Canis lupus familiaris: one gene and its partners. The protein of the gene in region 4 binds, or shares a complex with, the protein of the main gene of each other region. Links are inferred from orthologs where the notes say so. Each region holds a gene or a part of one and is shown on either strand. Other genes may lie near its edges.

Region 1 (6,311 bases), on a different chromosome or scaffold from region 4:
TTAAAAAAATAAATAAATAAAAAGAAAAATCACCATCACTGAATAATCTTTCCAAAGCGCCACTCCTAATTATAGACTTGCAATGTTGCCTCCAAGGAAACATATAGACAGCCTTCCCCGGCACTCAGAGTCCATCCCCTGTTCAGCCTCCACATCCCAACCCCAGTGTGGCTGCCAAGTACATGGCCTGTGGAGCTGGAAGGTCTAGCCTCCAGCTCTACCACTAACCAGCTGTGACCTTGGGTTACTTCACCTCCTTGAACCTGTGTCCTATCTGAGATGGGGAGAACAGCTCACAAGGTCAGCGAGGGGAAGGTCTGAGCTAGTGCTCAGAAAACACAGCTCAGCCCACACTTCTCACGGCTGGCTCTGGTGCATCTTCAGTGTCCCCTCCTCAGGGTGGCAGTGTCTGCCGTCCCACCTCCAATGGGGAGTCCCCGTTACTTTGCACACTTTTGTTTCCTTCAGCACACTTGCAGTGCTTTTTTATTCTTTTGACTTTTTCTTCCTTTTGGTCTGTTCCTGCTACTGGGCTGAGGTTTCCATGAGGGCGAGGATCTTGTGCTTCGTTCATCCCTTACTGTCTCTGCAAGGCCAGGCCCAGTACCTAACAAGTAACGTGTTCGTATTTATTGAGGTGACAGGTTAAGTGGGGGCTAGTGGGGCAGTGCTCAGGCATAGGGCTTCTCTGGCAATGGCATGTTTGGGGACTATTTCTTGTGCATCTTTCTACATCCTCCTTGGTCCTCCCCTAAAGCAGTGGTCCAAACTTGCCTCATGGAAAACAATGGATAATGGTAAATGTGATGTAGCCCTGAGAGCGTAATGAGCCTGGGGACATAAGGATCATGCAGCAGGCCAGCAAGTGACTTGGAAAGAATGGCAGCAGTTGGAAGGGGAAAAGGCTGGAGAACAGTGAGTCTACATGTTGAAAAGCAACCAACTTTATCTGCATTACCAAATATTGGCTGTTTACATGGGGCAAAGAGGAAAAGTGGGCACACACAGGACATTATGACCATGCATGCACCTTCTCTCATTGGAGGATGAGGTTAAATAGACTGGATAAAAAGTAATCTTTATGTATTTCACACATGCTTGCTCTGAAAACTGCAGTTGAATATAATTGCAGCATTTTGCATTAATTAAATTTCTTTTACCTTCCTTGGAATTAGGGCTTGAACTCAATATGTAAATTTATGCAAATTAATTGCAAAGTAGCAAGGCCCTAGAACTGAATCTTAAGGAAACTAGAGCACTTTCCAAGATCAGGGCCTGGGGATTAAATATGAGTGTCTTTAAGAATATTTAACTTTCTCTGAAGAACCTGGGGCAGATACTCTTCTCTGGCATCTACCTTCTATTAAAGTAACTTCTCATTTGGCTCATCTAACAATCTCTACTGATTTTTACTTGCCTGCTTAAGGAGAAGGTGGACTCTCCAACCCTCAAGTAACTCTGCTAGTAGAAAAAACCCCTACACCAAACACTTCATTACCATCACTTCCTTTTTCAAATCTCCCTCCCCAAAACCAGGCACAAAAGTGCAAGGAAGGAAGGGAGGAAGGAGAGGAAGGAAGGAGAGGAAGGAGAGGAAGGAGAAGAAGGAGAAGAAGGAGCTCTCATAGTATGGGGCCATACTCTGGGCAAGTCATTCTTCTCTCTGATGAATCTGCCCAGCATTCAGTCACCAAAGCTCCCTTCAGCTTCAACAGTCTCTGGGAGAAAACAAGTGGGGTACCAGTACTGTCAGAACAGGCAGAGGCTGTGACACACAATTTTCAGGCTGCCTTGCCTATTACTTAGGAAAGGAGCCTGGAGTAGTGAGAAAAGGCTGTTTCTTGCACTCAAAAGATCTGGACTCAAGCCCCATCAGCCAATCAGGTAACGCTCTGAACAAATTCTTTAACAGCTCTAAGCCTGACTTTCCATCTTTAACAAGAACTTCTACTTTGCAGAATTGTTAAGGGCACTAGAAACAAAATGTAGTAGTCTGATACGATGGCCCCCAAAATGATCTTCTGTCAACTCAGAGGAACTCACCTTCAAAAGGACCCCCTTGAATCTCAGGAGACCCTGACTGACCTAACCTTCCAAACTTCCCAAACACTGGATACCAGGTGACAAAGGTGAGAGCCCCCAAACAGAGCCAAGGGTGTTCTTCTAAATTCCAGTTCAGGCTCCTACTTCTCAACCTTCAAACATGGGCCATCTGCTCCCTATTTTGTCTTCTCTGGAGCCAGGTCAAGACTAGATAACATCTAGCAAGCACCCACTGTGCTAAGCACTAGACTAGACTAAGAACAGAGGCCATCACAAAACACAAGCACTTCTAAACACTTCCATATACATCTTCATCTTATCCTAGGCAGTACCTGGGATTATACAGCCTCCCCTAATTTTCTTAAGAATGTGGTCATTGAGACTCAAAAGAGAAGTTGTTCACCCAAGGCCACATAGCTAATAAGCATCTGCCTGGGAGTCAGACCTCCTGATGTCTTTTTCTGAGCTACTCTCTAATTCGCCTATACTCAGCTCTGCATTTTGTTTGGATTTGGTGGCTGTTTCACTGGGCTTATCCATTTAGCCACCCAACAATCATTTACAAACCACAATGTGCCAGGCACAAGTGCATGAAGTGCAGCATTCAATCAACAGGCCCTGGGGTTGGCCTGCTTCAATCGCAGCTCTTCCTCTTGTTGACCTGGGCGGAGTTACGTCATCTCTCAGTGTCTAATCTGTCCTTAGTCTGCAAAATGGGCAAACAGTGTTCTACCTCTCTCACCGGGCTGTTGAAAAGTAAATGAGAGGTTGCCTGTAAAGGACTCAGTGGAACCCATGGTCCCCACTAAGCACTCAAATGTGGGCTGCTTTTAGACTTCTCCTAGGTTCTGGGGATGGAGTCGTGACTCAGAAATGAAGCTTAGCCTCAAGGAGCTTACACGTGGTGGGAAACACAATAAATAATCAAGTTTCCAATGGTGACTCACGCCTACTAGGAAAAACCACGTGTGACGGAGGGAGGGGGCTACTTTAGAAGACTGGTCACCGAAGAATGCTCGGATGATCCTCACCCCGCCAACAAGAGGCAGATCCAGGAAAAGCTGGGGGAGTAGAAACCGCCAACGCAGCGGTGAACGCCAGGAGCCGCCCCTGGAGCCGCCCCTGGAGCCGCCCCTGGAGCCGCCCCTGGAGCCGCCCCTGGAGCCGCCCGGGCCAACGCCGCGCAGTCGGAAGGCCGCGGGGCGGGGCGCGGGGCGGGGCGCGGGGCGGGGCGCGGGGCGGGGCGCGGGGCGGGGCGGGGCGCGGGGCGGGGCGGGGCGCGGGGCGTGAGGGGCGGCCACACGCGGCGGCCTGGTCGGGCAGGGAGGTGGCCCCTCTTGGTCTGGAAAGCGCCAGGCCTCCGCGGGGCGGGGGTGAGGGGAGCAGGGGGGTTTGTGATCTGATTCACAACGTCTAACTGCTCCTGGGCTGCGGCGTCGGTGAGCGGGGAGCGTCCACGCCTGCAGGCGTCTGGGCCCAGAGCTGCAGTGCGGAGAGTCGGGTCCGCCCGGGTCCGCCCGGCAACGGCAGCTGCACAGGTGCAGGGGGCCCCCTCCCCTCCCCTCCCCTCCCCGCTCTCGGCCTCGGCCTCGGCCAGCGGGGCTGCGACGGCGGCCTCTCCCGGACGGCGGCCCCGGGCAGCCCCCGGACCTCGGGCCCCGCGTCCCAGGCGGACGCTCGCCGCCGCGGCGCCGGGAGGGTCACCGAGCGAGGCGCGCCCGCCCGCCCGCCCCCGGCCCGACCCTCCCTCAGGCCGGCCCGCGCCCCCCACGCCCACCCGGCCCAGGCCGCGCTCGCTCGTCGCGCCGGCCGGCGGCCCGCTCACCCGGATGCCCTGCAGCACCCGGACCCGCTCCTCCTCGTCCATCCCGAAGGACACCCTGCGGGCCTCGCAGCTCTCGGTGCTCCCCATGGCAGGAGGAGAGCGGGCGGGCGGCCGCGCGACCCGGCTCCAGAGCAACCGGGCGGACGCCGGGCTGCGGCTCCCTGCGCGCCCCGCGCTGCCCGGGACTCGGGTGCGGCACAAGCCAACAAGACCCCGTCCTATTGGCCGCCGCTGCCAGCTCAGCCAATCCTGCGGCGCGTGCCTGAGGGGCATTGTGGGGGTTGTAGTCTGGACCGCCGGGGCTGCCCGTCGGAGGCGTGGCGCCCGGGCGGCGGGAAGCGTGTTGGAGTGCAGCAGGCAGGGGAGGGGAAGATCGCCCTTGAAGCAGAGCCGGGGGCGATGTTGAAAGGCCGGGAGCCCCCCGAGGAGTTGAGCCAGCCATGCGAGGGCGACCTTGGTTCATTCAGCAAACCCCTTTTGAGCAGCGCTTACCAAGACGGAGCAAGCATTGAACCAGCCGTGGGGAACAAGACGTCCTGCCTTCGTGAGATTTAGACCTAATGGAAGGAACAAATGAAAAGACAAACAAGCAAGCACATAAATAAGCTTACTAACCACTGTGACAAGTGCCAGAAATGGAAAAGACTATCACAATGCCCCGTGAGAAACTAGTAGGAGGGGGTCTCTAATGTGACAGACCAGAGCAACCTCTATGAGAAAGAAGGATTTGAATTGAGACATAAGGATAAGTAGGAGTTAGCCAGGAGAAGATGAGGGAAGCACTTGGCTGGGAAACAACCAGTGCAAAGGCCCTGAGACAAAGAAGACCTTGCCGCATTTAAGAAATACAGGGCTTAGCCACACGACTGAGAAGTGCAAGGGAGCAGAAGAGAGCCAGAGGCAAGAAGGTGAAGGGAGCAGGAACGTCTCACATCACTAGGGCCTTATAGGCAGGTCAGAGTTTTAGTCTACTTTTTTTAAGATTTTATTTATTTATTCGTGAAAGACACACACACAGAGGCAGAGACACAGGCAGAGGCAGAAGCAGGCTCCATGCAGGGAGCCCGATGCAGGACTCAATCCTGGGACTCCAGGATCACGCCCTGGGCCAAAGGCAGACGCTAAACCGCTGAGCCACCCAGGGATCCCCAGAGATTTATTCTAAATACCCTGTTAAGACGGTGAATGCTCATAAGCATTGAGGAAACATTGGTCAGGGAGCATACATGTCATGCATTCAGGGCAGTGTATCAAGCACTGTGTTTATGCTTACACAGGATCATATGTGTAGTGGAGGAACACAAATGATTGTGAATTATAGCCATAGTGACATTGAATGAAGCCTCGTTTTGTTCAACCAAGTTGCTAAATGGCTTTGATTTACAAAGTGGGCCTGGAGCTGAGTTTTTTTTTTTTTAATATTTTTTTAAGATTTTTATTTTATTTATTTATTCATAGAGCCAGAGAGGCAGAGACACAGGCAGAGGGAGAAGCAGGCACCATACATAGAGCCTGACGTGGGACTCGATCCAGGGTCTCCAGGATCAAGCCCTGGGCTGCAGGCGGCGCTAAACCGCTGCGCCACCGGGGCTGCCCCTGGAGCTGAGTTTGAAATCTTGAACTGAGAAACCCTAAATTGCTACATGAAATAGCAAGAGTCATTTGGAGCTGCTTTTGGGAACCTGGAAAAGAAGGAGTGAGGAGGAGAGAGTGAATGAGAGAGACCAATGAGAATTAGGAAGCCAATGAACATTCCAGAGGTAGGGCCAGAGGATTTTTATGAACAAGGATATCTGCTACTTCCATTCAAAATACTTTGATTTGTAAATCTCTCTCCTTCCTTTCTGTCCTCCATTTCTTCCATATAAGCAGAGCGGGAGAAGGTGACTCTGGCTCAAGTGGCTTATTGGAAGGTGCCTCAGGAGAAAGAAAGTAAGAGAACAGGATGAAGTGGGGTCAAAGCTGGAGACTGGCTTCCACCTAATGCTAGGCAGGGCTGGGTGGGGGCAAGGCTCTGGAGAACAAATTAAATACAGAATTAGCCTCATCCTACAACAAGGGGACAGGCCTTCTGTCCCCCATGTCAGTCAATTATTGGCAGCCCAGCACAATTCCCCAGTGAAGGGGGCATCTGTGAGTTGTCAATAGCCACAACCAGACGCTGGGGGATGGCCCCACCAGCTGGTAAAAAAACCTGGGTGGGGAACTTTAAGCATCCACTACATGCTCCACATATTTTTGAAGGTCTCCCAAACACTCAAACACCTATGGCTGTGGAGGGAGGCTTGTGAAAAGTTGAGAAAGGAATGGATTTCACTTCTGGGTCAGATGGTGAAATAACACACTGAACTCATTCTGCAAAATGAGAGTCAGAACCACATGCCTGAGCTTGAGACTGTATGTGGCCTCCCCCGCCGCCACTGTGTGCAACATCCCAGGAGAG
Region 2 (6,211 bases), on a different chromosome or scaffold from region 4:
CCAGTGAAAAGACTGAATGGTAAGCATACCTTCCAAACAGGCACAGCAGGTGCTCAGAAAAATCCTATTAAGAACATGTAATATGAGTAATGAAAATGCCTGGTCTTTCTATCCCTAGAAATGATTTTAAACTTGGAGAAGAAGGCAAGGCAAGAGGGTGGCCTTTCATCCAACCCATGAGTTGTTTTAGGTTTGAAGCTGGAATTAGGTATGAGAATATGAGTGATTTTATGCAAGTGGAGGGAAAGCTATCAACTGTGAAGGATAAAGGAAATAAACACCATGAAAATAACACCTGGTAGGTGAGAATAAACTTTAAACTTAAAATTGTTAAGTAGGCCCTTTAATTGCTAACCATTGAGGACATTTTCAGCAAAAAAAAAAAAAAAAAAAAAAAATCTGGGAAAACATTATCTATTAATAAACACAGCCTAGTTACTGAAAGCCTTATGTTGCTTACTAAATGTTACTCTTCCTATATTAAGATAAATGAAGATGAAATTACTATCCTTATCAGTGGAACGCAGAATTGGTTTTCCAGCAGTGACTTAGTCTGTGAATTGCTGCTACGCTCTCATTTCTTATGAGTGATGACATAAATATTAGACAATTGGACAAATCTGGAATGTTTTCTTCAGCTAAGTTGAACGAACCTATCTGCAGTTCAACGCTGAAGCTTGGGCCTCATCGGCACCTCGCTTTAGTCAACTGAGCTAAAAACAGTGGCTCGCTTATGATACCAAGATTGTTGCTTATCCTTCCCCATGCCTCAGAGGGAAACAAGAGGACTGTTTTGAGAGGAAGGCAAGGCAAGGCAAGAGGGTGTATTTTAGGAAAAATACAAAGATCGGCTGAAAAATTTATACAAAATGCCTAAAGGGAAATCACACAGGCAATCAGCTGCAGAACTAAGGACTCCTTTTTCTCAGTCCACATCTTTAGGTATGCCTGTGGGAGCACAATATGCTCTTATTTAATCATTTTAAGATCAATGTAAATTTACATACCCATTCCCTTGAACAACTCTAATAATACCTACTACTCATGTAAGTACTAAGCATTGTCAAAACACTAAATGCTTGTATACCACAAGCAGGCTGCAGTATCTAAACATACTGAACAAGGAAACCTAATCAAAGTGACTTGTCCAGGGCCACTGAGCCTAGTGAGAGGCAGAGCTAGAACTAAAGCCAGGTTGGCCAGCTTCCAAAGCAAGTGCTCTGGCCACTATTCTAACTACACAGCACTTCCAGAGAACCTTCAAATATTAGATGTGAAGGAACCTTACCTAACAGCTGCTTTTTATTAAAAAGCTACAACGTGCCACGTGCTTTAAATACCTTATCCCATCTTCTTACCAAATATGAAGAAGTGACTTGTCCAAAGCCGCAGAATGATAAACATCTAATCTGAGACTCACACCAAGGTCTGTTTAACTCCAAGCTGATGCTTTTTTGAACAAGACCCCAAAGAACTCAGGATGACCCCCAAGTACTCAACAATTCAAGAGCGTGCCATTTTTAGAGGAAATTGCAATGGGCTTGAGTATGGCTACAAGAAACTTATAGTGCCACTAGACTCACAGAATTTCAGAACCAGAAAAGATCAGAGGTCTCAGAGATGTACTCAAGCCCCATCATTTTGCAGATGAGCAAACTGAAGCACAGGGATGCAAATCAACCTTGAAAAAGAAGGATTTGAAGCAAGTGGGAGACCACTGCAAGGGCATTCCAGGTGAAGGGTGTATCCTGAAGTGAAGCAAAGCACAGAGGTCAAAGGGGGCATGGTGTGTGCTTGAATCATAAATACAATGCCCTCTGTGAGAAAGGACAAAAACAAAGAATACTTCTGTCAAGTCGTGTGTTCAAAAGACATAGTTTCTTTTACTTAAAAAAAGTGGAGAAAAAGTTTTTTAAACAATCTCCTCATTCTAGGCTAATATCTACCCTATTATCATCCTTATAGTAGCTAACCTTACCTAATATTTGATATGAAGGTCTGTGCTGTGTCCAAATTTTCTTTTCATTTTGTTTGCTCTCATCACTGTGTCTGTCTATAGCAGGGCGTGAGAACATGGATTTAACTATTGTTCTAGCCAGTGACTTCTCACCCAGAATTTGCTTTGCTCTCCCTTACTTTTCATTTTCACCCTTAGGTATGGAAAAGTCAGAGCCTAAGGCAAGGTTAAACAAATCTCTGCATAAAACGCAGTTTATAGTAGTTTTTATTTTACTCCAAGGAGTACCAACTAAACCACAACAATGCCATGCAGCCTCAGACATTCTGTTACAAAACGTGGTACTGTCATTAACTGATATCAAGGAATGGTGGTCACAGACCAAAAACTGAGGTCAACAGTTTGAGCTTCTATAGAGAAAGCTTTAATAAATTCTTCTCACGGTAACAGTTTCAGAGTAAAAGTTCTTAAACATTTTAAGTATTTAAGAAGTTTTATTTCCTGGTAACAGAACTAAACACAATTCACACATTTCATTCCCTTATGCGGGTTGTGTGATAACAAGGAAGGAAAACTTAACAAATGATAATGGAACTTCCAGAAGTGAAACTGCTTCATTGACCAGGTTCGAGCAATACTCTCAACACTGAGAGGCTCCCGGTTCAGGTGCAGCGAAGAGCGTTCAGTGCAGGTAGGGCCGGTGTACCGACACCCCGGGGGGAAACCAAGTGTTCCGCTTGCTCGCCGAGCACCCGCGGGGGGCGTTAAGGCTTTCCCGGCGACGTGCGGCTGGGGACTCACCGGACCCCACCGGCGCGGCGGTCTCCCAACACTGCAACCCTAGCTCAGGCTAGTCCGGCTGCCTGGCAGGCGCCTGTCCTGGAGCAACCGGGCCTCGTCCACAGAGGAGGCAAAGAGGAGGCGTCAAGCGAAAGCCCAGAGCTGGAAGGCACCCGGGCAGGCCCCAAGTCTGCGGCGTGTGCGTGTGCGTGTGCGTGTGCATGTGCGTGTGCGGCAACCGGGGGCACGAGACGGGGGCGCTAAGGAGAGGAGAGCGGGCTTTCCGCGAAGCGCCAACGCACCGAGAAGGGTAACGGGGGCCGGCGCAAAATGAGGTCGCGATCCTGAACCCAGGAGGAGTTCAGACAAGCCCCACTTCACAGAAGGCAAGGCCGGGGCTTCGGATAAAGCCCCCCGGCTCGTGGGCACCTCGGCCAAGCCCGGACTGGAGCCGCGCGCGGGGCAGTCGGCTTCCGCGTGGCGCTGCCCCCACCCGCCCCAGCGCCCAGCTCAGCGCCTGGCACGGGGCCAGGGGGTCCCTCTGGATGGACGTCCCGAGTCTTGAAACTTCAGGCTTCCTTGCAGGCAGGCAGCTCGGCTTCGGGCCGGACAGCACTGGGGGCCCGGGCGGGGGGACCCCGGCTGAGCCGTCCCGGGCAGGCCCGAGTGTGGGGTCCGGGCCGGGCGCCGGGCGCCGGCCCTCCGCCCGCCCGCGGTCACTCACCCGGATGCCCTTCACCACGGTGATGTTCTCGTTCTCGTCCGCCTCGAAGGTGACCCGGCGGGTGCTGGCGGCCCCGCCCATGGCTCCTGCTTCTGCCCCCGCACAGACCTGGCCCGGGCGCACGAGGAGTTCAGGCCCCACGCGCACACACGCGCGGGGACGCACCGGCCGACGCCTTCCTCGCGCGGCGGGAGCAAGGCCACGACCCCAACAAGCAAGGAGAAGGCGCCGGTCCTCGGCTCCCGCCTCCTCCGGTCACGCGCCGCAACAAGCGTGCCTCCGATTGGTCGGAGACACGAACGGCCCGCCTCTATTCGGCGGGGGCGCCCGGATTGGTTGGACCGGCCCCGGAGGCTATGGCAACAGGTGCTGTCTGACCCGGCTTCCGCAGCCCCCGGGTGTACTGGGAATTGTAGTCTCCCGTCCGGCGCGGTAGCGGCTGGGACCTTCTTGCCTCGGACCCAGAGCGCGAGGGGCGCGCGGCATCCTGGGAGATGTAGTCTGGATTGTGCGCGCGCTTTGTAGGCGGGCGACTTGGAAGGAAGTCCGTCCCTCTAACGAAACCTACGTTTTGGACGTGTGGCTCCAGAGACGTGGGTCGGGGACGTGGGGCGTACAAAGTCTGTCCTCAGGGAACTCGCGGTCTGCCCAGGGAGATGCTCTGTCCTAACGGAGCCATTCCTAGATTCCTAACACTAGAAACATGAGGCAAAATGTAACATTCATTTTAGCCTGAGCCACAAAAACAATAAAAATCCAGAAACTCGCCCTGTGGCCGTACTCAGGAGGACCGTGTACCACGCACCGTTCTGTTGACTTTCGTGAGATGAAGTTCTAACTACTGTGGCGTTCAGGTCCGCAGGCGCGGACACAGACCGCAAAGCGCCCCCGCGCCTCCTTCCCCGTCCGTTGCCGCAACTGCTTAGGCCGGGATGCGACGAGGCGGAGGAAAGCGCAGCCGCTACCACGAGCGGCGGGCGTTGGGGGAGGAATCAGAACCACAGCAGACGAAGCTGAGATCATTTATTCTGGAAGGTTTCTAGTTCAGAACTTCGCCTCTGCAAGACCAGTAAATAACTTTTAAGTGACATACACACATTTAGAATTCTTACCGGGGTACCCCAGTGGCTTGGTCCGTGAAGGATCTGGCTCTTGAGCTCGAGATACTGAGTTTGAGTCCGACCTTGGGCTACATGCTAGGCATGGAGCCTATTAAAAAAAAAATCAAATCGATATCTGCTACGTACCCTGTGACCTGTAACTCCAGTCAAATGACTATAGTCTTACAGAGGCAGATTTAGAAATGAGGCTAATGATGGTGCCATTCTTGAATCCCTGTCAACATTAAAAGCAACCAACCACGACACAGCATGGCATCCTCCTATTACAAAGGCATTCAGAAAACTTGTAATGATTTTTTTTTAAGTTTTATTTAAATAATCTCGACAGCAAGCATGGGGTTGGAACTCATGACCCCTAAATCAAGGGCCGCATGTTCCTCGAACGGAGCCACCCAGTCACCCCTTAAACCGGCTATTCATTACTGGAGGAATCTTTAGAGCCAACACTGTGTCTTTCATCTCTGTGTCCCTGGTCAGCAGTAGAGTAATGAATTTATTCCATTCATAATTTTGTTATTTTTAATATATATGTTTCCAAATTGTATTATGTTATTTTGTTCTTATTCTCAAATTGTATAATATATTTAAACCTTTCTTTTACAGGGAACTAAAAATCCCAAAGATTATGTCTTTCTTGGGCACATTCCCTCCCTATATGTACCCTCCTCGCTTATTACCCCAATACATAGAGCAAACTGGAGGTTCTACATAAAACAGATGCTCAATTAATTATTACCAAAATAACTAATTACAAGAGTTTAAGGAGAAAGTAGAGATATGAAGGAATCACTAATTATATTGAATACAGTTATGATGGAATGCCTGGATAGCTCAGCAGTTGAGCATCTGTCTGCCTTTGGCTCAGGGCGTGAACTCAGGAGTCCCGGGATCGAGTTCCACATGCGGCTCCCTGCATGGAGCCTGCTTCTCCTTCTGCCTGTGTCTCTGCCTCTCTCTGTGTGTCTCTCATGAATAAATAAATAAAATCCTAAAAAAAAAACCTTTAGAATTAATAATCCATTCCAAACAACATTACCGAAAAGAAGAAAGAAAGAAAGAAAGAAAGAAAGAAAGAGAAAGAAAGAAAGAAAGAAAGAGGAGAAAGAAAGAAAACCAAAAACAAAACAAAACAAAAACCTTGAATTGAAAAAAAAAAATACATCTTTTTCTTGGAAAAATGCCTACTATAACAATAGTGACCTACCTGTATCAATTTCAAGGCCAAGCATGCCTACAGTCCCTTCTAAAGAAAATGTCTTGAGCTACCTAGGACTTGTGGTCTCCCTTTTTCTCTGGCCACAGCTTATTGGTGATCATCTAATCCAAAAGCATTATCAATTAGCCAGAGACCTATGAACTAGAATGCAAAGTTTTACCTAACCAAAAATAATAGCTAACACTTGAGCCACTCAGATTCTATACACCTTTTCTCTATCTCTCTATTGCTCTCTCAAATTTAAACTTGAAAATTCAGAGCATACAAAAAGATAGCAAAGAGAGAAGTTTTGATACTGAGTCAGAGATGTCATCATGGTAAACTAAAGAGAGGTCGGAGCAGAAACTGTAAGAATATAAGGTATCTGGATTGGACAAAAAGGAAAACTATATTCTTGGATGGCACGACCTTAT
Region 3 (6,276 bases), on a different chromosome or scaffold from region 4:
TTTAGTTTTCCCTCCATACATGTATGAATATATATTACTCATATATTCCCACTTGCATGTCTTAAGTTACGATGTAAATATTCCAAAATGGCTTGAAAGCCACTGGCCTAAAAAGATGAAAATAAGGAATAATAAAAAATGATCTAACACCAATAAAAGCAAAGAGCAATGATATATTAAAGTACTTTCTACCATGTATACTTGGCAGACATTACTGCTGAGTAATGAGTAACAGTTTTTACAATCCTAATGAAAAAAAAAATTCCAGAAGACTCTAAAAGGGCAATAGTAAAGCAGGAAAACATCAAAGAAGATGAAGCTTGACAGAATGGAAAAGATTTTGACAAGTAGAATATTCTGGATAAAGTTGACAAAATCAAACAAGGAAAAGAAAATTTGACTAGAAAGCTCAAAAGAATCTAAAGAACCATCTGCTGGGGATGAAAGTTCTGAGAATTGATATAATCCCAAGTAACAGTATATAAAGAGATGGGGCAACAATGAGATTATCACATACATCAGAATGGCCAAAGTCCCTAAGACTGACAACACCAAACGCTGATGAGGATGTAGGACAACAAGAACTCCCATTCATCACTGCTAGCAATGCAAAAGGTACAGCCACTCTGAAAGACAGTTTGACACTTTTTTTTACAAAAACTAAACATATAATACAGCAATCATGCACCTCAGTATTTACCCAAGAGCTGAAAACATGTTCACACAAAACCCTACACATGAAATATTTAGACCAGCTTCACTCACAACTGCTAAAACTTGGAAGCAACAAAGACATCCTTCAGTAGGTGAATGGGTAAATTGTGGTACATCCAGACAATGGAATATTAGTCAATGCTTAAAGAAAAGAAAAAAAAGAAGGCTGTCAAGCCATGAAGAGACATGGAAGAAAGTTAAATGCACATTATGAAGCGACTGAAGCCAATGTGAGAAGGCTACACGCTGTATGATTCCATCTATATGACGTTTTGGAAAGGCAAAACTAAAGAGTTAATAAAAAGATCAGTGGTTGCGAGGAGAGGAAAGAAAGTGATGAGTAAGTGGAGAATAGAGGATTTTTAAGGCAGTGAAAATACTCTGTAAGATACCAGTAACGACTGACATATGTCATCATACATTTGTCCAAACCCAGACAATGTACAACACCAAAAGTGAGCCCCAATGTAAACTATGGGCTTTGGGTGATTATGATATGCCCATGTAAGTTAATCAACTGTAATAAATGCACCACTCTGGTGGGGGATGTTGATAATGGTGGAAGGTAAGCAAGCATGTGTGGGGGCAGAACATCTCTACCTTCCCCTCAATTTTGCTGCAAAGCTAAAACTGCTCTTTAAAAAGTCTTAGTTAGGGGATCCCTGGGTGGCTCAGCGGTTTAGCGCCTGCCCTCAGCCCAGGGCCTGATCCTGGAGTCCCGGAACCGAGTCCCACATTGGGCTCCCTGCATGGAGCCTGCTTCTCCCTCTGCCTAGGTCTCTGCCCCTCTCTCTCTCTCTGTCTCTCATGAATAAATAAATAAAATCTTCAAAATATAAAAAATAAAAAGTCTTAATTAAAAAGAGAGAGATGGGAAGAGAGGTCAGACCTTGGGGATATATTTCGAGGTACAAGTAGCAGATTCAATAAAGGAAAAAGGAGAAAGATAAAGAGCCCCTAGATACTACATAAGAAAAGCCAGAAAGCAAAAACAGCTTCACAAAGCAACAATATCAAATGCTACAAAATGAGAAGAAACCAATGAATTTTTACAAGATCGCAATTTCGAGACCCTAAGAAAATGCGGATGCAAGCTAGAAAAGGGTTCATATTTTAGTGTGAAGCTTTAATGTTTTCTTCTAACTTCCTAATTGGAATCCCAATAAGTAGAAAGCGTTTTCATCAAGACAAGGAAGGAAAAAGTAGAAAAATTTTAGATTTTATGGCAGACAAGGAGATTGGTGACAGCCATGACATAATCTGAGGGCAGAACAAGAGTGTTCCATGAAAGGAGAGCTCTGAAGACAAACCAAGAGTTCTGCACTCAAAGAGTTCTAGTCCCACTTGGGTACTACATTAGGAGGGATTCTAAGATGGCCCACACAATTTCCACCCTGTTAAGCCCATGATTAGGGTTGCAAGACAAAAGGGATTTTGCAGGTGTGTAACTCATCAGGTGACTCTGAGTTAATCAAAAGGGAGGTTTTCCAGGTGGGCCAGGCTAATCTTAAAGCCTTTTACATGCTGATCTAGAGATCAAAAACAGGAAAGTTAAGAGAGACTTCTGAAGTCAAAGAGATAAGCTCCTGGTAGCCTACAAGAAAGCAAACATCCATGTCACTGAGCAACACACTTGGAGCAAACTCTAAGAGAGTTAGGTGACAGCAGGAAAGAAAACAGGGACTTCGGTTCCTCAGGTGCAAGGGACTGAATTCTGCCAAAATGAACTTGGAAGAGGACTCTGAGGTCCAGATGAGCACCACAGCAGTCAATGCCTCAACTGCAACCTTGTGCGGCACCGAACAAAGAATCCAGACCATTCATAACCAGAAAGTCTAAGAATAAATGGGTGCGGTTTTAAGCTGCTAAGTGTGTGACACCTGTTATGCATCAAAAAAGAACTAATACAGACCCTACTTGCCTACAAAAGCTGCTTCTATCCTGGCAACAAGTAGGGAGACAAGCAAACTTGAAGGAAAAAAAAAAAAAGCCTGACATGATTTCTCACTCACTCTGACTAGAGATTTTGTTCAATTGCTGCTTGGTGTGCAATACATCTTCCAACATATCAATAATTCTGAAAACTGTGAACAATAGAAATAGAAGTTTATTTCCAACTTTAGAAAAGTACTTTGACAAGCGTGCAGATGTAAGTCACTGGGTGTCTAGGCTTCCTGGATGTCTGCCAAAGTTGTCCCAGCACCTGGAGAAATACATCCCCAAGCTAACCTCAGAAATGAGCACAAGGTCATGACTCCTGTTCTTCCTCAGTACCCAGAGTTTTTACTTCATAAACTACAATCTCTCATTTTTTGTCTAGAGTAAGAATACCTCAGAGGCTCTCTAAGCTGCAAAAAAGAAGGTCCTTCCCGAGTAATTACAACCTTGACCCCTAAAATGTGGACTCTAACAGTCCCAACACCTCCTTATTAAAGATGCAACAAGCCAAGGCTATAGGCGTTTCCTGCTGGGAACTGTAGTTCTCCCCGCGACCTTCAACCACTGGCTGCGCGAAACCTATCACGAGCCCAACCGGCAACCCGAGCGCCAGAGCCACTATTGGTCCCTGCCTGGGGCAGCGCGCCGCTGATTGGACGACGCGTCCCCGAAGCCGCGCTGACGGTCCTGCGCCCGCCTCCCCACCACCTTCTCTCCACACCCCATCCCGCTTACAGCAATAACCCTCAAATCATCCCAGTCGGGCGAACCCCCTAATCAACTGCTTCACGGGTCGGCCCAGGACTCCCGCGATGAGGGCGGCCGCGAAACACGCCTCTCTCCCGGGGCCTAGTCAGAGCGAAAGCCTCTCCCATTTTCCGTTGGTTGGCCGGAGTCCGCCTCACCACGCGCTCTCCCAGCGCCCCCGCGCTCACCTGGGCGGCGGCGGTCACACCCGATAACTGACAGGCCCGCAGCATTTCGGCCGGGCTTGGGCACGGCTGGCGTACGAGGGAGCTGCCGCGGAGGCGTTAGTAAGGGAGAGCGTGCGTACGTCCCTGCGTCCGTGCCGCCTCTCCGCGCCGGTCCTACCGGAAGGGCAACAAACGCCGCTGCGCACGCGCAGCCCCCTTTCTCGACCCCGCCCAGGCCGCCCGGAGAGGCGCCCCCCCCCCGCACCGACCCCGGGCGGAAAAGGCTATTTCTCCTTCCGGGTCGCCTTCGGAGTTCTGGTCTGTATCCGCCAGAAGGGGTTAGTAGGTGAACCCGGAGGGTGAGAGGAAGCGCGAAACTCGGGCTTTGATCAGTGCGGATAGAAGATGTTATTCGTCGAAGAATTCAAGGAAAAAAACATCCCGGCCGCATTTGTCAGCTGGGTATTTCGTAGAAAGCAGACGGTTTGGCGAAAGTTACGTAAACAATGGTGTTTTGGTTTGCGTGTTTGTTTGCTTTGACAGCCTTTCTTCAGGGAGTCATCCTGATTATGGGAGATTGGGAGGACGAACACTGGAGAGACCTTTGTGCGGAACGCGTTGTTCGCGCATCTAATAAATGGCAGAGCAGGGATAGAAACCCACATCCTTCGGGTTCCACCGCTTCTACTCCTAGATTTAAGCCACACTTATTTTCCCACTACGTTTTCCTTTTACAAAGATAATTTTGATGGAATGCGTCGGAAGTTAAGGAGATCAGTGTAGAAAAACTCTTCAGAGTATTCCACGGAGTCTGTAACCAAGATTTAGTATGTTAAATATTGAACACAGTATTCAATACTGTTATTACTAATAATGATCGTACCATCACAATATCAAAAGAAACTGAATAACGTGTATATCCGTTGCATTTGCTAAGTGCTTTTAGGTCTTAACTAGGCTATTTATCACAGCATGGTGTTCCTAGAGTTACGGTGTTTTACAATATGGTGGTATCACAGTATGATACTAATCCCACTTGTAAAATGGAGAAAGGAATTTGAAAATTACCTAAAATCAAATACTTATGTCCGTATATATTCATTGCTTTTCAGGGTGCTTTAAAAATTACGTTACGCTCTCTAATTTCATATCCCCATCACCTAACAGCCCCCAAAGCAGTCTCCCGTTTTTAAAAGTAGTTTTAGCATTAAATTGCAGTCTCCCCAACCCCTCCCACCCACCCCCCGTCCCTGCCCACTGCTGTTCTGTTATACGGGGTGATGCCAGTGTAATGAGTTTTCTAATATCTTGGCCATAAACCTCTCAATATCAAATAAGCAATTTAAATCTACCCTAACCGGGATCCCTGGGTGGCGCAGCGGTTTAGCGCCTGCCTTTGGCCCAGGGCGCGATCCTGGAGACCCGGGATCGAATCCCACGTCGGGCTCCCGGTGCATGGAGCCTGCTTCTCCCTCTGCCTGTGTCTCTGCCTCTCTCTCTGTGACTATCATAAATTAAAAAAAAAAAAAAATCTACCCTAACCGTGTGTGGCCCAGCCACATCCTGGGCCTGAACATCGTTACCAACTTCAGCTTCCAAATCTCAAGCTCCAAAATTAATTTTTGTTGTTTCCTCATCTCCCATTTAACCAAATCCTTAATCTTCATCCTCCACGTGCAATTTATGGATTTTTTTTTTTGCTTTGAAGTGGACTCCCCCAAAGTAACATACAAATTTAAATCATTCCTCTGTTCAAAAATGTGCAAGGACTTCCATTATCAATTCAAAGAGTATTTGTGAAATGTCTCAGTACTTTTTCAATACATGAGAATATGTTTAAGGCTCAATTTAGCCATCTTAGGTGGGAGATTAAGAAAGCAATGATAGTAGTCAAAGCTCATCACCCACTTACATACCCTAAAACCCAGAAGAATTAAAGGATATGACTCTCCTCAGTTGGTTCTCAGAATGTGAACGGGGACCACTGGGGAGTCTGAGACCTTTTCAGAAGATCCATAAAAATCAAAACTACCTTCATAATATTAAGATATTATTAGCTGTTTTCACTCATTTCTCATAATTTTACAGTAGAATTTTTCCAGAAGCTAGGTGACAAGTGAAATTAACAACAGACAATGCATAAGCAAATTTCAGAATCCAGCTACTAAACCATACTTTAAAGAGATTTGCCGGGATCCCTGGGTGGCACAGCGGTTTGGCGCCTGCCTTTGGCCCAGGGCACGATCCTGGAGACCCAGGATCAAATCCCACGTCGGGCTCCTGGTGCATGGAGCCTGCTTCTCCCTCTGCCTGCGTCTCTGCCTCTCTCTCTCTCCTCTCTGTGCATTCTCATAAATAAATAAATAAAATCTTTAAAAAAAAAATAAAGAGATTTGCAGAAAAAGTTAGGAAATGATACTGTTCTCAGTATTTTTTTGGGGGGGGAGAGTTACTTTTCATGAGTGTATTTTTGTTATGAAAATCATAGTTTTTTACTAAGTATGGTAGGCAGAATAATTATTCCTGAACATAGCATATTTTCCTAATCCCTGTAACCTATAAATGTTACCTTACATGACAAAAGAACCTTGCAGATGTGATTAAGACTCTTGCAACGAGGAGATGATCCTGGATTATCTGCATAGGGCCAATGTAATGACAAGGGTCCATTTGAGTAGAAGATGAGGACAGGAGAGGCAGAGTCAGAAAA
Region 4 (6,060 bases):
CCAGGTGCTCCCATATTTTGATATTAAGTATTTTATTAAAAACAACTTTTATTTCAAGACTCACATTTTCCTCAAATTCACTCAACCTCTAGCGTTAAAGAAACTTGGCTTTTGTCTGACACTAATACATTCTTCCCAATCCTTTTTTTTAAGATTTGTTTATTTGAGAGAGAGAGGCCTGAGAGGGGCAGAGAGAGGAGAGAAACTTTAGCAGACTTCTGCACTCAGCACAGAGCCCAACACAGGGCTCTGTCCCACAAACCTGAGATAGTATCTATATGGAAACCAAGAGTTAGAGGCTTAACTGACTATGCTACCCAGGTTCCTCTCCCAATCCTTTTAAATGAAGGCCAGTCCTCAAGCCATTCTCTCTTATTCAAGAAGTCAGGAGGAGAAATCAATATAGTCCTTATTCCTTGAGAGTAATTCCACATCAGTTTTTCACTATCATATCTGCTCAACAAGTTCTATCTCAAGATTTATGTAATCTTCGTTAGTTATCTGCCAACTTTCAGGGTTCCTCTCTATCTTACCCTTTTTTTATTAAACTCTAGGGCTTCAAAATTAACACTGATCACCCTTTTGGGACCTTGGCCTCACAAATGCTTCCACAAAGTTAAGCCCCATAATCGGGACTGAGATCACATAATTTCAGATCTGACTCTACTCTTTACTACTGTGTGACTGCGGGCAAGTTATGAAACCTTTCTAAGCTTCAGTTTCCTTACCTGTAAAATGATGATAACTGTATCTATTCATAGGGCCACTGTGAAGCATTAGAAAATTCATGTAAAATGATCAGCAAAATGCCCAAACCAGTAAATGCTTAGTAACTTAATAGCTGTGATAACTATTATTATCTTTCCTCTATATTAATTTTTGGCACATTTCCCCTTGTCACCAAACCAGCTCAGGCTTCCTGACTGTTTCCAGTTTTATCAAGATATAATTGACAGTCTCCTGACTTTTTTATTTTTATTTTTTAAAGATTTTATTTATTCATGAGAGACAAAGAGAGAGAGAGGCAGAGACATAGGCAGAGGGAGAAGCAGGCTTCCTGCAGGGAACCTGATGTGGGACTTGATCCCAGGACCCTGGGATCCCACTCTGAGCCAAAGGCAGATGCTCAAGCACCGAGCCACCTGTCATTCCTCTCCTGACCTTTTTATTTTTTTTTAATTTTTTTTATTTATTTATGATAGTCACACAGCAAGAGAGAGAGAGAGAGGCAGAGACACAGGCAGAGGGAGAAGCAGGCTCCATGCACCGGGAGCCTGACGTGGGATTCGATCCCGGGTCTCCAGCATCGCGCCCTGGGCCAAAGGCAGGCGCCAAACTGCTGGGCCACCCAGGGATCCCTCTCCTGACCTTTTTAAATGAAAATACACCTTTTCTGGAATTTGTTACCTGTATCCCAAGATTTATTTCCTTCCTTTCACCACAACACTTTTCCAAAGAGTAATATACCCTTCCTCTCAGAAGCAAGGAGTGGTGGAAGGATCATGGACCTTGGAGCTAAATACACCTGTATTTGAACCTTTAGCAGTTATGACCTGGAGCAAGCACTTTTTTCTAAGCCTGCTTTATCATATATAAAGTGAGGATAATACCCCATTTCTTAGGGTCATCAAAAGGATTAAAATGAAATAATATATGTAGAGCAGCTGGCCAAAGTAAGTGCTAAATTATGGCCAGTTTCCCTTATCCTTTCCTTAACCTCTTACAATCTAGATTCTCCCTCTACTACTTTATTTATACTAGTTTATCTCACTTCAGCTCTTATTAGGATTATGATTTGGGGCAATTTACTTCTCTCAACCTTAGTTTTTCATTTGTAAAACAGTGATCATAGTAACTACAAAATAAAGCTATCTTGAGATTAAAGTGAAATAACAGAGGTAGATAGAGTATTTTAGCATGGTGCCTGATCTCATAGGAAGCAATTAATAAATGGTAGTTTCCAGTGACTTATTATTGGCCAAACTGTTCAACTCTTTCCTCTAGGCTTCAGTGACAACACACTATTCTGGTTTGCTTTTTACCAATGACTACTCCTTCTGTCTCTGTACCTCCTCCACGAAGTCTTTATTCTCCTTAACCAGGTTTGAGTTCTCTCTTTTGAACCCTTAGATCACTTTGTACTTCTCTTGAGGCAAGGCACTTTTTTTTTTCTGAATCAGAGCACACTATCCCATTGCCTGGCATTTATTCCTATAGCTTTTTTTTTAAATTTTTATTTATTTATGATAGTTACAGAGAGAGAGAGAGGCAGAGACACAGTCAGAGGGAGAAGCAGGCTCCATGCACCGGGAGCCCGATGTGGGATTCGATCCCGTGTCTCCAGGATCGCGCCCTGGGCCAAAGGCAGGCGCCAAACCGCTGCGCCACCCAGGGATCCCTATTCCTATAGCTTTTATTGAGTACCTAACGTAAGTCATACCTGTGTTAGGGATACAAAAATTAATGTCTTAATTATTGTCCTCAAGCAGCTTATAGGAAGGTAGAACTGGTAAGTAAATAGTCTATTATTTAAAGTGTGATAAGTGGGGGATCCCTGGGTGGCGCAGCGGTTTAGCGCCTGCCTTTGGCCCAGGGCGCGATCCTGGAGACCCGGGATCGAATCCCACGTCGGACTCCCTGCATGGAGCCTGCTGCTCCCTCTGCCTGTGTCTCTGCCTCTCTCTCTCTCTCTCTCTCTCTCTGTGACTATCATGAATAAATAAATAAAATCTTAAAAAAATTAAAAAAAATAAAGTGTGATAAGTGCTAAGATAATAAAAGTATGCCCAGTGTCCTCTGGAAGCACAAGAAAAGGAGTTATTTAAATTAAACTGGGGAAGTCGGGAACACTACCTCGGAAAATGCATTTTGTGCTTAGTGTATGAGGAGGCAGTAAACAAGTAGCTGTTAAATGAATGAATGGACTACAAGTAGGAACTAGATGAGGATGTTTCCCATCAAGTCCAGAGATCTAGCGGGGGAAAGGCTTGGAGTGCAGATGTTAAAAGATTTCCTGAGAGACAACAGATGAAGCTGAAAAGCCAAGGCAAGGATGGGTGTTCCAGACATAGGAGTCTGACCTGACTCCAGAGAACAGATGAAGGAGTGCCAATAAAGGTTTTTAAGTGGGAAAGGGGTATAATTAGATTTGCATTGTAGAATAAGTACTCTGGCAGTTCAGGGAAAATGGATTCCTTGAGAGCTAGGCTAGAGACGGGAGTCCAGTTAGAAGGCTGTAGTGATAATTCAGATAAATTATGAGTACCAGAAATGCTGAAATGGAGAATTGTCAATCAAGATGGACACTGAGTCACCTTAAACTTTGGCTGAATTATTCGTATTTGTATCTTCTACAAGCAGTACATTTTACACGTAAAACCGGCTACAAATATCCACCTGTAGATATTTGTCAACTACTATTACTGAAACCTATTTAAGGAACCGCAGCTAGCAGCCAGCTGAGTCACTTCCGGTACAAAGATTCCTAAGTATAGGCACTTTTTCCCAGTACAGAACTCAAAAGGAACTCAAGTTTATTATTCAAGCCCGGAAAGGAACAACAATAAATACAAACACCGCGCACTGCAGAGACTTTGTGACATCTCCATCCTAGTCTATTTCACCCCCAAATGTTTGAACGAAGACTTTCCAAGGGCCAGGAGATTCCACCCTGTGTGCCCAATCGAATGCCCGGGATTCTTTTCTCTTTGTTTCAGTTCAATACCTACAAGTCTGCCGCTGCTTGTCTCCAGGCCAGCCTTTTTTGCCCAGCCTTTTCCCAGTACCACCGTGCCGCTGTATAAACAGTTAACTGCAGAAGACTGAGGAGGGAGTACTGTCCCAGGCTAGGGAAATCCAAGGGGGAGAGGTAAGTGTTTTGAGGCTTCAACCGTTTCTGATTCCCTGACCTTGCCGATTCTTTCACAACCCCATTTCCACCCCGCCTCTTGCTCTCTCCACCGAGGAACCAGGGCAGGTTATCCGGGTTTTGTTTCAACTTACCCTAACAGCCGCCATCTCCGTGACTTTCTGCGTCTAGATTTTCATATGGTGGGCAGAGAAGGACAAAACTGTTCAACTCGGCTCACCTCTGGAGCCCCGCCTGGTTACGTCCCTGGTCCGCTGGCTCCGCCCTTTCTCCACCCTCCCAGTGCGTCTTTGAGAAGCTGCCACAGTTGGCCGGCTGTCTATCGGTAAAACCGTTCATCCACGTGACTGTTCCAATCCTCGATAAAGCCTTTCAGAATACCCTGCGTAATCCAGTTGAAAGCTATTTTGCTGGGTGCAGAGGTTTGCACTATTTTCGTTGTTTCATACCTATGTGATTTGTCTAGATAAGGATCTAAAATCCAGGTCCAGCTGCAGTAATGAAGAACTATGTAGTCAGCTCCAGGCAAATTGAACAAAACTTTCTTAAATGTTTAAAGAGAAAGGAAAAGAGTTTTATTCAAGCCCAAGTTAAAACAGTTGCCTGAAAAAAAAATAAAAAATAAAATAAAACAGTTGCCTGGAAATACAACCTTCACAAAAAAGAGAGTGCTCCCGGGAAGGAACATTTAGTGGAGGGTTATATATGTTCTTTTCATAGAAAGTTACAGATCATCTTGAGGAAGGACATTCTGGAAGGTTAAAGACTTTATCTTATGTTTTTAATATGTGCAAGGCTGTATGACTTTAATCTTATGGGAACCAGGGAGATTTTTTTCTATTTTTATCTTTATGTTTGGAATGCTCCTTTGGTTATTTTTTTTAATGATGCATATGTGCAATAAGTGCCAGGTGCAGAAATAGAGTCCATATTTTGAAGTTTTGCAAAGTCATTTTGACCTTGGTAAACGTCAAAGAGTTATATTCTCTGGGACTCCAGGAGCAGGACCCACAAACACATGAAAAGTTGAAAATGTTCTTTATTTTATCAATTACTAAAAGAACATTTACCTCTGCGATAAGTGGTCAAGTTCGTACATTCTAAAACTATGTCACTCTGAGCCTCCTATATGCCAGGCATTTGTTCAACATATAGAATAATACAATGCCTTCCCTCATGGAGTTTATGTTCCCAAGAGAAAAAGACAAATAAATGTTCAAATGCTATAAAGGAAAATAAAACAGTATGGGAATAAGGTGAGAATTTACTTGTTTAAATAGGTTAGGGAAAGGGTTTCTGATAAGCTGACATTTGAGAAAAGTGCTGACAGAGTTTAGGGAAAACGGTTTCATGTAGAAAGAACAATAAAGAAAAAAGTCCAGCATGGCCTTTTTATTTTAGTGCCAACTATATACCAGGTATCAGTAACATAGCTAAAATATTTGACATCCTAAGCAGATAATTTTTTAATGGTTTCATCCTCGATATGACAAAATTATTTTAAGAAGTAATGGTGGAGGTGCCTGGGTGGCTCAGTCAGTTAAGTATCTGCCTTCAGCTCAGGTCATGATCCCAGAGTCCTGGGATCAAGCCCCACATTGGACTCCCTGCTCAGTGTAGAGTCTGCTTCTCTCTCTGCCCCTCCCCCAGCTCTCTCTCTCTCTCTCTCTCTCTCTTTCCAATAAACGGTAAAATATTTTAAGAAAAGAAATAATGATGACTCACTAGTATTTTATCTTATATACAACATCTTTATGCATTCATCTATCAATGGACACTTAGATTGTTTTCATATCTTGGCTATTCAGCCATAAAAAAGGATGAAATATTGCCATTTGCAACAACATGGGTGGATTTAGAGGGTATTTTGCTAAGTAAAGTCAGACACGGAAAGACAAATACCATGTGGTTTCGCTTATATATGGAAACTAAATAAGAAAAGAAATGAGAGGGCAGCCCCCGTCGCGCAGCGGTTTAGCGCCGCCTGCAGCCCAGGGCGTGATCCTGGAGACCCTGGATCGAGTCCCACGTCAGGCTCTCTGTGTGGTGCCTGCTTCTCCCTCTGCCTCTCTCTCTGTCTCTATGAATAAATAAATAAAATCTTAAAAAAAAGAAAAGAAATGAGAAAACAAACAAAAAGCAGAACCAGACTTATTAATACAGAGAACAAATTAGTAGTGGCCAGGAGGGAG
Region 5 (5,802 bases), on a different chromosome or scaffold from region 4:
TGGTGGGGGGCAGGGGCAGCAAATAAAACCCCCTCCCACCTGGGCCACAGATCACCCCACCCACCCTTATCCCCAAGCCTGTGCGCATGGTAACCTAAAGGGCCAGAAGCCCCTTCTGGGGCCCAGTGTCCTCACTGGGGTCCTATAAGGGGAATAGGGAGGCAGGAGAGCTGGGGGGGGGGCTGGACACCCACACGCTCCACAGCTCGCTTTGAAGATGGGGGGGGGCACTCCTGCTGAGTGTGGTGGCCTCTAGAAGCTGGAAAAGGCCAGATACGGACTGTCCCCAGAAAGAGCCAGCCCTGTCCTCCTAGCTCCGTGAGACCCGTGGTGGGCTTCCAGCCTCCAGATCTGTGAACCGGTCGACGTGTGCTTTTAAGCCCCTGAATCTGGTCATTTGTCACGGGAGACTAGCAAACTCCCAAGGCAGTGCTCGTCTGCTGGGATGACTGCCCAGGAGACACCTGGCAGCAACTGGAGACGTCTGCAGCCGTCAGGACCAGGGGACAGAGTGCCACTGGCATTTCGGGGGTGGAGGCAGGGATGCTGTTCAACACCTACTGTGCCCAGGCTGAGGTAGGGCGACCTTGCCTCGCAGTGCTAAGGCCCTGATAGGACACCCACAGGGCAGTCGGGGGGCCTGGGCCGAGTGCCTGACTTCAGGCTGGGAGGAAGGGGTCGGGAGGCTTTCCAGAGGAGGCCAATGCTAAGCTGCAGGCAGGATGAGCCAGAGTCAGGAGGGAGGATGGCCTGCTGAGTGGGTGCCAAGGCCAGTGGTGAAGACCAACTGCGTTCTGGGAATGGGGCCCCTTGGAGGAGTCCGGGCTCAAGGGGAAGGCAGCAGGGAGCCATAGAGGGTTTCCGAGGAGGGCAGGGACATGTTCAGACTTGGACCTGGGAAGTGGATGGAAGGGCACAAGGCCGAGAGCCGGGGGCGGGGGGGGGGGGGCGTCAGTGCAAACAGACCTAGGGCTTGGGGAAGGCATCTCTTCAGAGCTGCTGAGGGACCCGCAGGGCCTGGAGCAGCCTGAGGCCCCAGCAGCCCTCGGGGTACGTGTGTCCGTCTGTAAGAGACGCAGCCCTGCCTGCCCTGTGCCCTCAGACAGGTGCCTCTATCTCCGCCCTTTTCCTCACCTGGAAACCACACGGCCCACCCTCGTCCTCGCTGTGCGGCTGCCTTGGGGGTGGCCAGGTGCTTCCTGAAGCCCTGCCTGCCTGCCTGCCCGGCGCCCCTGGGCCACACCTGGCCATCTCTGCTTTTTTGCAGCCCCCACGTCATGACCCCCTCCCCGGGGACACAGGCCCGTCCTGCGGGGACTGCAGTCGCTCTCGTGAGCAGCTCTACACACGGTGATCACTGAGCGGCCCCGGGAACTCCTGGCCACGCAGACAGCGGGGAGATGAACATGCCCCTCCCCAGGCCCCCAGCCCCGCAAAGCCCCCACCCTGGGCTCAGCCCTCCAGGAAGGCCGGCATCGGCACTTTCTCAACCCGTTCCTGGGCCCCTGAGCACTGTCCGTGGAGCTCCAGGGTCAATGTCTGCCCCCAGCCCCGCACCAGGTTGGAGACTCAGCAGTGGGGTCCGGACGGCAAAGGGGTTAACCAACACCTGTGGTCCAGGTCAGGCCCTGAGGAGCTGCTAGCCCAGGCCCCTTGCTCTGGGCACCAGCCGGGCCACCCCCAGCCCCCAGGGCCAGCACACGGGTCGGGGAGCATTTCCAAAGTCCTTTATTGGGCCGGCAAGGCCGGGAGCTGCCCTCGAGTGGGGTCCCAGTCCCAGTCTGGAGTCTCCAGGTCGCTGGTGCCCCTGCCCCCGTTCCTGACTGGGGCAGGTGGCCTCTGGCAGGCTACTTGATCCGCTCCTTCAGGTATTCCCAGCCGTCCCTGGAGTACTCGCGGGCCTTGGAGGGGGCCACCGACAGAGCTGACATCACCGTGAGGATCCCTGTGGAGAGGGAGGCCCCAGCGCCTTCAGCCACCGCGTCTCGCCCACCCACACCAGCCCCCCGGAAACCCGAGCTCCACAAGGCTTTGAGAGGCACCAGTTCCAGCGCCATCGGTCCCACATGGGGAAACTGAGGCGGGGGGGGGGGCAGGGCCTCATGTTGTCTGAGATCACCTGTCCTCAAAGTAGGCTCCCTCTGGCTCACCCCTCCCTGAAATCTCCACCCTCTTTAGATCCTTTAGATCCGTGGCAGGGGTGCAGGGCAGCACGGGGAGCCACGGGAAGGAGTGACCAGGAAGCAAGCGGTGGCAGGGTTGTGAGGCTGCGGTGGCAGGGGTCACCCCCCAGCACGGGGACCAGGGCCTACCTGAGTTCCAGGTGTCACGGAAGTGAAAGTTAAATTTTGGAGGGGCTGGGAGCTGGGAAGAGAGGGGAGAAGGGGCAGGTGAGAAGGGGAAGGGCCCCGCGGCCCCAGCCTCGCAGGACCGAGCCCGTGGGAGGACGCGGACACGGACACGGACACGCCGCCGGGGGCTACCTGGGGCATCTTCAGGCCGGTCTGCTCGCACACGTACTGGCTGAGCTGGTACATGGCTGGGGGCACCACCTCCTCGGCCCTCTGGAGCACAGCCTGGCTCTTGTCGCTTGGGCCCAGCAGCTCCTGGTCGTACACCAGGTAGACCGCACCCCCGGCCACGCTGCCCTTGATGAGGAACCTGCGGTGGTGGGGGGGGGGGAGGCAGGGCGGCGGCTCAGCAGCTCCCCGGCACTGCCGGCAGCCCCGGGCTCCTGGCCCACGCGGGGCGCCTGGGTCCGGGGAGTGACACAGCGAGGCCGGGCAGCGGACACGGAAGAACAAGGAGGCGGCCGGGCACCGCCTGGCACAACGCTCCCCTCACTGCACAGAGCACAGCCCCTCGGCCCCGTTTAACAGGTAAACTGAGGCCCACTCGTGATCCGCACACGGCGCGGCGAGGGAAGGCCTAGACCCCCGGCCTTGTGCCTCGCGGGGTCCCGCGCGGCCCTGGGCGCTCCTTGGACGTCGCGCGTCGCCCCGGGCACCCGGGGTCTTGGCGCAGCGCGGGCGGCACTCCCGCCGTCCAGGGGAGGCACCTGCGGCCCCGGATCGCGGGAGGCCCCTCCCCTCCTGACCCTCAGGTCAGGCCGAGGCGGGACCCGACGCCACGGAACTCCAAGACCCAGCCGGAAGCAAACCCGGCGGGGGGTGCCCACGGGAGGGGCTTTCTCGGGGGCTCGGAGCCCGCCCCGCCGCCCCACGCACCTCATCAGCGACCACACTCGGGGCACCATGGTCGCTCGGCTCCGCGCGCAAGGACACTCGACTCGCCCGCCGCTTCCGGTGACTGCGCCGCAGAGGCCTCTGGGAAACGTAGTCGCCCGACTCAGCCGCAAAGGCCTGTGAGAGTCGAAGTCGCGCGGCGGCCGCAAAACGCCGGAGAGGCTCCGCAGCCCTCCAGCGAAAGGATTCTGAGAAGTGTAATCTTCAGAGCCCGGACGCCGCAAGGCTGCCTGGGAAATGGAGTCAGGACCAACCCCCGTGAGGCGCCGGACGGCTCGCCCAGCCGCCGAGACTGCTGGGAGATGTAGTCCGGTCTGGCGCGGCTCCGGCGGCGTGCGAGGAAAAGAGGAGTCGGGCGTCTAGACTGAGGCCCGACAGTGGCCCAAGAAGGCGTCGGAGTCCGGGAGATCCACCCGCGCCCGCGCGGGGGACCGAGGGCCCCGGCCCAGGGCGAGTGTGCCAATAAGATGGTTGGTTGTCACGGCAACGCGAGGTCGGAATTGTGCGTGGGAGGCGGGCCCTCGGTCACGTGCCTGCCTCGGGGGCGGGGCTTTCGTCCAGGGGGCGGGCCCAGGACCACGGCGGGGCGAGGGCGAGCCGGGCGGAAGGCCGTTGCCGGGCAACGCCCGGGCGCCGCGCTCCCCCGCCAGGCCCCGCCCCCTGCGGAGGTGGGCTCGGTGTCACGTGACCCGGACCCTACGGGAGGGGGCGCGGTCGGGGGCCCGGCGGAGCCGGCAGCGTAGGGAGGTGCGAGTCCGAGGGGTGCGCGCCGGGCTCCCAGGCCCGGACCCCAGCCCCGCTGGACGGCGGGAGAAACTGAGGCCCGAGTGGGTGAGTACGAGGTTGGGAGCGCGCGGCACGTCGCACGCCCTTTTTGTCCAGAGGGGAAACTGAGGCTCTGTGAGGTCAGGGGACCAGTGCGTTCTGCGAGGGTCTGGTTCTCCCAATTCCGTCCCCATGGGACGCCGGCCGGCTGCTCCGTCCATCCATCCACCCACCCATCCACCCAGACGGCCAGCCGGCCGCCCGCCCCCGCCCCCGCCCCCGCCGCGTGGCTGCTGTGGTCAGGGTGGAAGAGGGTCAAGTTGCGGGACTTCACGGGCGTCCCCTGGAAAGCGGGGAGAGGTGGGATGGCTGCCGTGACTGGGGAAGGGCGAGGACTTCACTCTTCGGAGAGCTGAGAAAGAGTCACAGACAGGAACCCGGCAAGATGAGAAGGGACAGGTGGGCCAGGGCCGGGCCCGCGGCGCATTGTGGGCCGGGGTGAGGAGCTCGGTCTCCACGAGGGGCAGTGGCGAGCCCTGAGAGGGTTTGCAGCAGCAAGGGGCAGTCACATTTCTTTGGGTAAATATGTCTTGGGCTGCCCGGAGAGCATAGGGTGCGGAGGAGGGAGTGGGAGGGTGGGGGAGGCAGGGGGAGGCAGCTGGAAGTTGGCAGTAGGTCGAAGGATCTAGACATCTCAGAGCTGAGGGCACCCCAGCCCCACCATCTCTCAGTTCTACAGTTCTACCCCTACTGCGTTCAGAGAACAGAAACCCCAGGATGTGACGGGCCTGTGCCTTCCTTGGGGGAAGATTCGTGCCCCCCTGAATCGTGAAGTCCTTGGCCTGTTTCTCTCTTTCACCTTCTCCCCGGAACAAGTAAATCCACTCCCACAGCTCAAGTCACATCTTAACCGTGACGACACAGGCTCCTTCCTGGTGTCTCCAGAGTCATCTCTCCGGGTCCCCCCAGCTGTCACTTCCAATGTTCGTCACATCACTCAGGGCCAGTCTCGTGTCTGTCGAGCATCTGCTCCATGTCTGGCAGTTTGGGGGCCACTGAGGACCCAACAGCGAACAAAGCAGAAGCAAGTTTCCGTTTCCTTCCTGCCTCGTGGAGCTGACGCTCTAAGAGGAGAGAGGGACAGGGAGCATGTAACAGATCATCAGGATGATTTCAGATCATGGCAAGTGCTGAGAGCGTGGAAGTTTTAGAGGCAAGAGGAGGGAGAGGGACCAGGAGGTACTTTAGGAAAGGAGGCCAGGGGGTTTTCCTTGGAGAAGGTCAGTTTTGTGCTGACTTCAGAGAAGTGAGAGAGCAACTCATTGGGTTATATTTGGGAAGAGCATTTCGGGCAGAGGGAGTAGCCAATGCAAAGGCCCTGAGGCAGGATGGAGTCTGGCTCCTTCTAAGGAATGCTGAAGAGGCGCTGTTTTGGCAAACAGAGCAAGAGGGGCTGGTCCTCGTGGGGCCTTTTTGAGCATCAAGGAGCCTGGCTTTTGTCCTAAATGAGATGGGGAGGGTTTTCAGCAGGGGGAGGTAAGATGTAATTTGGCTGCTTCTAGGAGGGAGAACAACCTGAAGAGGCGAGGGGAAGCTATATGACCTGGACCAGGTGCTGGCTGCGGAGATGGAGGAGAGAGGGCAGGGCCTGGAGGGAGCATCGTCAGCAAACAAAGGCCCAGCTGGGGAAATGGGGGTGGCTGTGGGCCAGGCTGTGCGCCAGGCTGTGCCTGCCATCCTCTCTCCCGCTGCAGACCCTGCAGACTCAGAGCCGGCCATGAAGGTTCTGCTC

Evidence for each region.
Region 1: APOOL (region 4) and CHCHD6 share a complex: the UniProt entries of both Homo sapiens proteins name them as parts of the mitochondrial contact site and cristae organizing system (MICOS) complex. The link is inferred for Canis lupus familiaris from reciprocal best matches to the Homo sapiens genes APOOL and CHCHD6.
Region 2: APOOL (region 4) and CHCHD3 share a complex: the UniProt entries of both Homo sapiens proteins name them as parts of the mitochondrial contact site and cristae organizing system (MICOS) complex. The link is inferred for Canis lupus familiaris from reciprocal best matches to the Homo sapiens genes APOOL and CHCHD3.
Region 3: APOOL (region 4) and IMMT share a complex: the UniProt entries of both Homo sapiens proteins name them as parts of the mitochondrial contact site and cristae organizing system (MICOS) complex. The link is inferred for Canis lupus familiaris from reciprocal best matches to the Homo sapiens genes APOOL and IMMT.
Region 5: APOOL (region 4) and MICOS13 share a complex: the UniProt entries of both Homo sapiens proteins name them as parts of the mitochondrial contact site and cristae organizing system (MICOS) complex. The link is inferred for Canis lupus familiaris from reciprocal best matches to the Homo sapiens genes APOOL and MICOS13.

What each region holds. Positions count from the first base shown.
Region 1 is NC_049241.1:896,243-902,553, reverse strand, and holds the start of CHCHD6 (MICOS complex subunit MIC25), read right to left. Parts: upstream 4,056-6,311; 5' UTR 3,956-4,055; coding exon 3,869-3,955; intron 1-3,868. UniProt on the Homo sapiens protein: Component of the MICOS complex, a large protein complex of the mitochondrial inner membrane that plays crucial roles in the maintenance of crista junctions, inner membrane architecture, and formation of contact sites to the outer membrane.
Region 2 is NC_049235.1:4,055,079-4,061,289, reverse strand, and holds the start of CHCHD3 (MICOS complex subunit MIC19), read right to left. Parts: upstream 3,716-6,211; 5' UTR 3,543-3,715; coding exon 3,462-3,542; intron 1-3,461. UniProt on the Homo sapiens protein: Component of the MICOS complex, a large protein complex of the mitochondrial inner membrane that plays crucial roles in the maintenance of crista junctions, inner membrane architecture, and formation of contact sites to the outer membrane.
Region 3 is NC_049238.1:39,248,622-39,254,897, reverse strand, and holds the start of IMMT (MICOS complex subunit MIC60), read right to left. Parts: upstream 3,761-6,276; 5' UTR 3,633-3,760; coding exon 3,588-3,632; intron 1-3,587. UniProt on the Homo sapiens protein: Component of the MICOS complex, a large protein complex of the mitochondrial inner membrane that plays crucial roles in the maintenance of crista junctions, inner membrane architecture, and formation of contact sites to the outer membrane.
Region 4 is NC_049260.1:66,055,807-66,061,866, reverse strand, and holds the start of APOOL (MICOS complex subunit MIC27), read right to left. Parts: upstream 4,097-6,060; 5' UTR 4,018-4,096; coding exon 4,003-4,017; intron 3,846-4,002; coding exon 3,729-3,845; intron 1-3,728. UniProt on the Homo sapiens protein: Component of the MICOS complex, a large protein complex of the mitochondrial inner membrane that plays crucial roles in the maintenance of crista junctions, inner membrane architecture, and formation of contact sites to the outer membrane.
Region 5 is NC_049241.1:54,735,343-54,741,144, reverse strand, and holds MICOS13 (MICOS complex subunit MIC13), read right to left. Parts: upstream 3,750-5,802; 5' UTR 3,257-3,749; coding exon 3,228-3,256; intron 2,662-3,227; coding exon 2,484-2,661; intron 2,365-2,483; coding exon 2,313-2,364; intron 1,946-2,312; coding exon 1,848-1,945; 3' UTR 1,711-1,847; downstream 1-1,710. UniProt on the Homo sapiens protein: Component of the MICOS complex, a large protein complex of the mitochondrial inner membrane that plays crucial roles in the maintenance of crista junctions, inner membrane architecture, and formation of contact sites to the outer membrane.